2 linked regions of the Cricetulus griseus genome follow. The protein of the gene in region 1 interacts with the protein of each later gene in a pairwise test. Links are inferred from orthologs where the notes say so. Each region holds a gene or a part of one and is shown in the gene's direction. Other genes may lie near its edges.

Evidence for each region.
Region 2: the proteins of Necab2 (region 1) and Iscu interact in binary tests that used the Homo sapiens proteins (3 or more experiments, as listed by UniProt). The two-hybrid records come from large-scale screens. The link is inferred for Cricetulus griseus from reciprocal best matches to the Homo sapiens genes NECAB2 and ISCU.

What each region holds. Positions count from the first base shown.
Region 1 is NC_048596.1:196,101,603-196,106,311, forward strand, and holds part of Necab2 (N-terminal EF-hand calcium-binding protein 2), read left to right. Parts: intron 1-961; coding exon 962-1,015; intron 1,016-1,454; coding exon 1,455-1,567; intron 1,568-4,410; coding exon 4,411-4,488; intron 4,489-4,709. UniProt on the Homo sapiens protein: May act as a signaling scaffold protein that senses intracellular calcium.
Region 2 is NC_048597.1:93,420,457-93,425,028, forward strand, and holds the end of Iscu (iron-sulfur cluster assembly enzyme ISCU, mitochondrial), read left to right. Parts: intron 1-100; coding exon 101-211; intron 212-1,758; coding exon 1,759-1,837; intron 1,838-3,154; coding exon 3,155-3,240; 3' UTR 3,241-3,625; downstream 3,626-4,572.

The sequences.
Region 1 (4,709 bases):
TGGGCTGGCCATCTCATTGTAGAGAGACCAAAGGGCCCCGGCCTTCCTGGAGCTGCCCATGTGCCTGTTAAGTGACAGAAACAAGCTTGAATCTTCGAAGACATCTTATCTACTTGGCCCTTTCTTGAGATGTACAGACAAGAGGTCAGTGGAGACTAGAGGTGTGATTCAGAGGCAGGCCCTTGTTCAAACTTGAGAACCAACCACCCACCACTGTTTTCTTTAACAGTGGATGCACCTCTTGCTTGTTACATGTAGCTGTCTTCGGGCAGGGCAGACAGGCACAGAGGCTGTGATTGTGAGGTACCCACATTGTAGGAAGAATAGAGGAGACATAGGTTTAAACTCAGGCCCTAATAATCCTTAACTCATCTGAGCCTGGGGTTCTGTGCTGTGACATAGCAATGACTGGACATCAGTGTGGCCCTGTCTTGGGTGCCAGGTACTGGTGGCCCACAGAGCAGGCATGGCTTCTGCATTCCTGAATCACACAGTGGGCAGCAGCTGGCTCAGGGAGGCTGGGAAATGAGACTTATACAGAAAGCTTTTGGTCATGGCTTTGGACGAGCATCGTACAGGCCATCCCACGCAGGCCAAGGGTTAATGGGAAACCCAGGGTCACTGCTATGGGTGAGGTCAGCAAGTTATGGGTCTTAGGGCTCTTATGAAATCTTGGTAAAAACAGTTTCTTGGGAGCCCACCTTGGTCTCTGAGTCTCCTAGTGCTTCAGAGGCCTGGACCACAAGGAGCTCTCTGCCATTTCCCTGACTTCGCTGGCCCTAGGACCCCCTGTTGCTGCTCTGTGTCTGGGAGCTAAGCAACCTTGTCCACTAGGCCTAGCACATAGGAACAGGGGCTGTAACTCTGGGGGGGGGTCCCAGGTACCCCATGTCCTGGGTGGGGCCTTGGGAGCCTCCCTGGAGGTGGCCTGCTACACAGGCACCACTGTGCTTTGTTCTAGACCCTCTGGTTTGACCTGCAGCAGCGCCTCTCAGACGAAGAAGGCACTGACATGGTGAGACGCTCTCTGCCCCTCCTCTGACCTGTTCTTCCAGCCCTCTGAGGAGTATTGTAGCTCCATGTCTCAGCCTTCCCTCCCCAAGGGGCATGGTGAGCCAAGGCTCCAGGACTCTGGTTAAAAAGCATCTGGCCTAGAGTAGAGCAATCATCTGGCCCTCTCTGTCACCAGACTGCATTTGGTCAGAAAGACAGCCTGCCAGTCACTAGCTATGCCTCTGGATAGGGGTCCCTGCAGCATTCCTACTGCCCTGTTTGTGGGGGCCCCTCAAGGACTTCACCCACTTGGCCCAGCCTTCCTTTAGCTGATTTGCACATCCAAGAATAAAAAGCATGGTGGTTTTATTTTGACCCTTTTGTCTCCACCTCTCAGGAACAAGGTATGGGTGGCAGGGGAAGGGCCTGACACACATGTTCACTCTCACTTCGGCCCACAGCACCTGCAGCTGGTCCGACAAGAAATGGCTGTGTGTCCTGAGCAGCTGAGCGAATTCTTGGACTCCTTGCGACAGTACCTCCGGGGCACTGCTGGAGAAAGGAACTGTTTCCAGTAAGTGGCAAAGATAAAGGGGATGTAATCAGGGCCTCTGGCTGGCAGTAGGGGTGGGGAGGGATGGACCTGGCAGAGCCAGCCCTCTCCTAGGGGAGGCACATGACAAGGAAGCTAAGAAAGTGAGGCTCAATCTCATTCCAGCTGTAGGAGGTAGTGGGTGAGTTCACCCCCAGGCCTGGGCTCACTCATATGTCAAGCACAGTATATTGGGAGGGCAAATAGAATAATATGCTGGGCTGAGGCCATGCCTGTTCGTGCACCACTCACCCAGAGTCATCACTGTTACTCACACAATAGAGCCTAACTCGCTTGATTAAAGGGAGAAGCTGAGCTTCCAGAAGGTATGTTTTCCAGAATGCAGGTCACCGGCCCCCACCCACTCCTGTCCTGCCAACCCTGGGTTGGCAGCAAGGTGAAGCAGATAACTGTGGCCTCCAGTGAGGGGTCTGCACACATAGCTCCCAAGAGAGGGGAGATGTGGTTTGGCTGGACAGGTGATGGGGGAGTAAGGAGGGTGCCAGAGGCTCTGTGTTGGGATGGCATCATCAGGAGCTGGGTTGGCCCTGTCTTCTGTGTGAAGATAGGCTGACAGCTGCAGGGAGAAGCCACACATTCAGATGAGGAAGAGCCCTGCTTTGGCTGATGGAGGGGAAGATGGAAATGGGGTAGGCAGGGGATGGCTAGGCCTTTGGCCTCCAGAGAAACTTGATAAAGGATCATTTCACCAATTGCATGGGAGAGGCCAGAATACAGTCACGTTGACTGTGGAAGTCATGTCAGTTTCTTGGTGCCTGTGGGCATGCCATGATATCTGTCTGGAGGTCCCCGATGAGGACAGGCTCAGTGAGGTGGTGTACAGATGGTCATTTTTCTTTGCTGTGCTGGGACCGAACCAAATCTCTTGTGGGTGCTGGCCACATGGCATCTCTCAGCAACATCGAAGCCCTTACCATAGTTCTTAAAGGAAGAAAGGGGAGGAGAACTTCACCTTGTGGTTTGGACACCCCTTATCCTCACCTGGGCCTTCCTGGTTTTGTTGCCCCTCCCATCCCAGTGCTTCTTCAGGACAGGACCCTGGTATAGGTTCTATACACAGGGTGCAAAAGGTTTCCTCCTGTTGTCCTCCATACCCAAGCTTGCCTTGCTGTGCCTTCCTGCTGGAAGTCCCCACCTGAGAAGCCAGCAGTCAGACAAAGGTTACCTGACTGACTGTCATCATCCTGTGGTAGCCACACTCCTATGGTTCCAATTGTCCATGCTAACCTTTGCTGTGTCTACAGAGAGACCAGAGTGGGCACCTACCCTGGCTGGCACAGAACCTTGGCTGGCAGGCACAGCTAAGGCTGGCAGGCACCTCATCCACTCAAGAGCCTGAGGCTGGTGCACGAGTCACATTCCCTCACTTCTCATGAATAACCATTCATGACTTGGAATTTGCATAGCCTTCACCCTAATGAATGTCACCTCCTTGAGAGGCTCAGGTACACTTCTGCCACATGTGGCAAAGAAAGGCATCTAGGCTCCAGGAGGAGCTGGCGGGGACAGGAACAGCACTGAGTGCACCCTTGACTCCACCAGAGCCCACAAGTTCGTTCACATCACTGCCCCAGTCACCAAGATCTTCCGCATCTGAAATGGAGTGACAGCCCAGGTCATTCAAGGGACTTGCCTGGGCTGCGGGTCATTTAGTGTGGGTAGTCCACCCTGAGTTTCAGTGTCCTCTTAAGGACCAAAAGAGACAGAGTGAGCAGGGCACAGGCTGGGTGCTGTGGTTTGAAAAGCAGGTGCTTTGCATGTATGTGCGCGCGTGTATGTGTGTGTGTGTGTGTGTGTGTGTGTGTGTGTGTGTGTATGTATGTGTAGGACAGAGGTTAGTCTTGGGTATTGTTCTTGAGTTGTGAGTACTCAGCTTCTCTCTCTCTCTCTTTCTCTCTCTCTCTCTCTCTCTCTCTCTCTCTCTGTGTGTGTGTGTGTGTGTGTGTGTGTGTGTGTACACTAGGGGTTGTGGAAGGGGGTGCTTGTCTTAGGGTTTCTATTGCTGTGATAAAACACCATGACCAAAAGCAACTTGGGGAGGAAAAGGGTTTGTTTCGTTTATCACAGTCCATCACTGAAGGAAGTCAGGACAGGAACTTAATCAGGGCAGGAACCTGGAGGCAGGAGCTGATACAGAGGCCATGGAGGGTGCTGCTTATTAGCTTGCCCTCTAGGGCTTTCCCAGCCTGCTTTCTCATAGCACTTACTGACACTAAGTAAGAATAATAAGACCTTAATGGAGGCGTTTTCTCAGTTGAGTTTCCCTCCTTTATAGCTTGTGTTGACTTAAAAACTAGCCAGCACAAAGTCAGGACAGTATCCAGGAGATATTCCTCTCCTCCACTATGTAGGTCCTGGGAATCAAACTCAGGGCATCAGGCTATGTTTCAAACACCTTTACCTGCTGAGTCAGCTTACTGGCCCTAACATTGTTTTCTTGAGACACATTCAGTTTTTTCACATGGATTCTGGGGGTTGAACTCAGGTTTTCAGAGTCATGTGCCAACTGAGCCATCTTCCCAACTCCCCAAACCAGATGTTTTAAATCCTGCTTTCATTGTGGGCCTTGGTGCTATGCCAGGTGCCCTTGTGGCTGCCCCTGGAGACTTGGGGTCATTGTGGTCAGTGAAATAGCACCTGCAAGTGGGCTAAGCTGCACTCTCGGCCAGGATAGCCCCGGTGTCTCCAGCTCCTATTGTCCGGTGGATGGCCAATGGGGAAGACAGAGGTTGAGACTGTGATGTCCATCTGTGGGCAGTGGGCAGCCATCGCCAGCCACAGATGTTCGTATCGCTTCCCTGCAGTGTCGCTGCAGTGAGGATGGCAGATGGCCTCACCTTCGTCATCTATGAGTTCTGGGAGACAGAGGAAGAGTGGAAGAGGTAGGTACAGCCTTGTCCCGACCCCATGCCAGGGAGTGGAGCTATGGTAAGATGGGGATGGCTGGCTCTAAGTCCCTGTCCCTTGACCCTGAGGACCTTCAGAGGAGAGGGTGGGGGGATGGTGAGTGTGGTTTCTGGTTGCAGAGGCCTCTACATCTGAGCAAGCTTCCTTTCCTGGCTAGCTGTGCCTCTCACCCAGAGGCAGCAGGCCGGGTCTTAGT
Region 2 (4,572 bases), on another chromosome or scaffold:
GGGCTCATTCATAACACACACTGTGGGCCAGAAGTTCCAGGCTCTTGCATTCTAGATGTCAGGTCCAGGAATCACCTCTGAGCGCCTGTTTCTTTTCTAGATCCAGGTGGATGAGAAGGGGAAGATTGTGGATGCCAGATTTAAAACATTTGGCTGCGGCTCCGCCATCGCCTCCAGCTCCCTAGCCACGGAGTGGGTAAAGGGAAAGACGGTAAGAGTGGTCACAGATTGTATAGAATTATTTAATCCCAGCACTCAGAAGGCAGAGACAGAAGGATCTCTGAATTCCAGGCTAGCCTTGTGCACATAATGAGACCTGTTTCAACATAATCATAGAATTAAATCAGAATTCCCTGCAACCCTGGCTCTGGAAGAGTCTAGTCATAAATCACAAAACAAAAAGCAGGAAGATGAAGATAGTTAGTTCAAAACCAGCTTGGGAAAGGCAGCAAGACCTTGCTTAGGGGGAAAAAAAAGATGTCAATGATTTCTTGAAGCCATTTTCTAAAGTTTAATACTGGTTACATTCCTCACATTGGGAGTTGTGAACCATTTTGAGGCTTTTTGTTACTGTTACTTGGTTATCAGCTAAATAGACGAGGGTCATCACCAGTCCCTCTGACCAAGCAGAACTGAAAAGAAACCACCATGGGCTTTCCCTAAGGTTTCCTGAGAATACTGTGTAATAATTACTCCTTGTTTCCTCCTATCTCCTGTTTCGACTGGGATTCCAGAAAGGCACACTTAGAGGCTGGTAGAAGTATCTTGTGTTGAGGGGGTTCAGAAGTCAAAATCACAAGGATGAGGGCGGAGTAAAGGAGAGCAGTGGTCCGGGTGGCCAGCCAGGAACTTCTGAAAGGAATTGGGAATGGGCTGTGACATCTTTTCTGTCCTTTTCTCTACCGGCCCCCTCCTCAGCAGCTAAGATGAGTCTGCTAAGATCCAGCTGCATCAAAACCACCCGCACTAGCTGGGTGTGGTGGCTCATGGCTCACCAGCCAGGAATCCCAGCGCTTAGGAGGAAGAGGCAGGATTGGGACAGGAAGGTCTTCCTCAGCTACGTAGCAATTTAAGCATCACCCTGCCCTGCATGAGACCCCATTTTAAAGCAGTGCGCTCATCTTTTGTACCCTTGCAGGACCCAGTTCAGGAAGCTGAGTCATGGAGGGGTATGCTTATGTTGTCAGCCAGCCCTCCAGTGGAGCCATTTACTAGCCTCATGCCCCCTGCTCCACATGATTCAGGCACTTGGGCTGCAGAGCTTAGGGAGGCCCAGGCCTGCTTGTTCTGGAAGAAAATGGCTCAAAGGAAGTTGGTTAAGAACTAGCCTTGGGGAAAGGAGAAGTGAGACTGGGCACATGCTATGACATGGCATTTAGAGAGCTCTGAGCTATGATTGGAAAGTAGGAAGACTCTTTCTCTAATCTCAAGGTCTCCTGTCTGGGGGAGACTGGCTTTCCCTAATGTACTGGCCATGTCCCCTGCCTCTATCATCCCTCAGAGCTCTCAGTGCACAGGCACCCTCGGGCAGAGGCTGCAGAAGCAGCCTAGGTAATACCTGCCTTCAGTGGGCAGGGGTCTTGTTCTTGCTTACCCAGCCAGGCAGCTCAGTTGTGTGTGTCCCCCTAGAGACCCCTGGGTACACAGTGGCAGTTCTGCCCAGTAGTTGTTTTGAAGTCCTAAGCAAGAGTTACCCGACAGCCCATCCTGGGGTGTGTTCTGACCTACTAAAACTTCCCACTTTCCCCTGCACCTCAGGTGGAAGAAGCTTTGACCATCAAAAACACGGACATCGCCAAGGAGCTCTGCCTCCCGCCCGTGAAACTGCACTGCTCCAGTGAGTCTACCCCAAGTATCAGGAACTGAGACGCTCAGTAGTCATAACTCCCTGTTAGGCACCTATCCTGTGACCCCAGAAAACATCTGCCATGGTAACCTTTGGGAGATTAGAGCCTATGGTCTCACGCTCCAGAGCTCTAGGAAGTCAGGCTGGGAAGCCTCTGCCCTAGAGCCACACTGAGCACCCAGAAACACCCCAGCCGGCAGCATTGCTCCCCTCAGAGATGAGGAAATGAGGCTTGGGGAAAAGCAGTAGGGCCAGAGGTGAGCCCGGATCTTTGTTCAGAATCAGCTGTTCCCACCACACTGGTGGACAGGCGGGCAAGAGACAGCTTTCTCCACCGCCCTCTTCACTGTGCATTTCCTCAACTGAGGTCATTGTGTAACACTTGCATTGCCCTAAGAGAGGCCATGCACCTCAGAACCTGCACTCACATCTGATGCCTTCCATCCACTCCCATGTCCCAGAAAGCAGGAATGAGGATGTCACTGTAACATGCTGTCAGGTTTGCTGACCTAGTCGGTTCAGATGCATCAGAGAGCAGACGAGCGAAGGACTGGTGCACCATCCTCAGGACACCCCTGAGATCACACTTTACAGTTTGGCAGTTGAGGGAAAGCCTCAGCCTTTAGCCTTCCAGGTGCCAAGGCAGTAGCTCATCTGTGTGGGTCATTAGCTTTCTGTGGCCTTCTGGCTCTCAGCTTCTACTCCCCGTAACCTCACTCTGGGTATCCACCTCAGTAAAAGCCTTCCAGTATGGGACTGCAGGAGGAGGTGTGCAGACTGTGCCATCAGAGTTCTTGGCTTAAGGCTGAGCTCTGCCAGCACTTGTGACCACCAGTCCATACTCTCTGGGACCTGATCTTTGTTGTGTCCCTGCCTGGTGACAGGCACTTTCTGGAAATCCCCTCACTATCCCAGCCAGGAAGGCATGACCATCCCAGTCTGTGTGCCCAGCTAGGACACTCTTGGGCCTTCCCAGCTCTAGCACCCTCCAGCTTAAAAAGACTCTCCTCCTTAAGACCACCTCCCAGACCAGGGAGACAGCCCAGGGGTAAGGCTTGTCACCAAGCCCAAGTTAGAGCACTTAAACCCACATGGTGGAGAAGAAAACCCACTCCCCAAAATTGTCCTAGACCTCCACATGAGCACAGCACATGCACCCACTCACATACATGTACAAACACACGCATACATGCTCCAAATACCTATTTACACAACTATATGAATAAACAAAGATAAGTGTATAAAATCATAAAGACCACCTCTCCAATGTCTTGAAAGTGAAGCTATCTACCCTTCCATGCCTTCCAGTGCTGGCAGAAGACGCCATCAAAGCTGCCCTAGCCGATTACAAACTGAAACAAGAACCCAAGAAGGGAGAGCCAGAGAAGCAGTGAGCCCTGGAGAAGCTCCAGCGGGTCACAGCTGCCTCCTGCCACCCTGCACCACATCAACGCTACGAGAAACGCACACTGTTCACCATTGCCATTGTGGTTCTAATGCAGGCAAATACACTGTTTGATTATGCCTAGTTCTACGTTCCTTTCAGCTCACTCGTATCTTTAGTGCAATTAACGTCTGTTCTGATTTATGTTGTGTCCTGAGAGCTGAAGTCTTAAGCTTTGGTGGCCTTTGAAGAGTGACAGCAAGTTTTACCTAACCCTGTGGGGGGGAGGTTGCCAGCAGAATGCCTTGTAGTTATTTGATAGAATTTATTACTGTATATTTAACAGATCTGCATATATATATATATTATAATAAAAGAATGTAAGATGATGGTTATCTCCAGTGAACCTGCTTCTTGAATCCTTCACTTATGCCCAAAGCCCCTTGGGGTTCCCCAAGGCCAGGCTGAGATGAATAAGCATACCAGTGCTTAGCCACTTGGGTGCTCTTAAAAGGGTACAGGAGATAGATGTCTGTTGCTCCTCACTGCTCTTTGGGAAGTGTAGTAAATTCACAACAGCTTCAAGGGTCCCTGCAGTAATACCACTGGTCTATGAAAGTCAGAAATAAACCCAAGAAGCTAGCTGAGGTGTTGCCTAGCTCTGTGGGCCAAGCAGAAGAGCCTCGGGGTGAGTCTCAACTATTGTCTAGGCCCAGGCACCAGTTTCGTTCTGGCAGATGGTTCTGCTAGCCTTCCAGAGGCCTCACAGGCTTTTTGTGCCCTTCTCATGTTTCACTGAAGAGTACATGTACTGCACTAGCCTTGAATTTCTTCAAAACAGGCATCTCACTGGTCATGGTGGCACCTGCCTGTAAACCCAGCACTCAATGGGTTGAGGAAGAAGATTAAAAATTAGAGGGTAGCCTGGTCTACTCAGACCATGTCTCCAAACACAGTCTGACTCAGGCATGGATAGCAGCCACCCCTGCCCCGAGCTACACAGTGGTATAGCCTAGTGAAAGGCCCTATTTTCCAGTGAAGACACTGGAACACTACCACAGTGAACTTCAAAGGCAAACTGTTTCTGATGGCGGCTTTGTTGTGCAGGCACTTGCAGGCTGACTTTGAAATCATCCTTTATTTTAAAATAGTCTGAGTTCTAGTGAAGGGCTCAGAACTTCAAAGGCCACTCCCTCCACAGTCTGGAGGAGACCACAGGCCAGAGTCCATCAGAATCTCAAATTAGACCCTGGGTGGGGCTGTGTCAGATTGCCCTGCAGGGCTCGCTGTCCTGTGCTGCTATGTAATTCAGGGCCTTGCTCGTGGCCGTGGCACAGGGCCC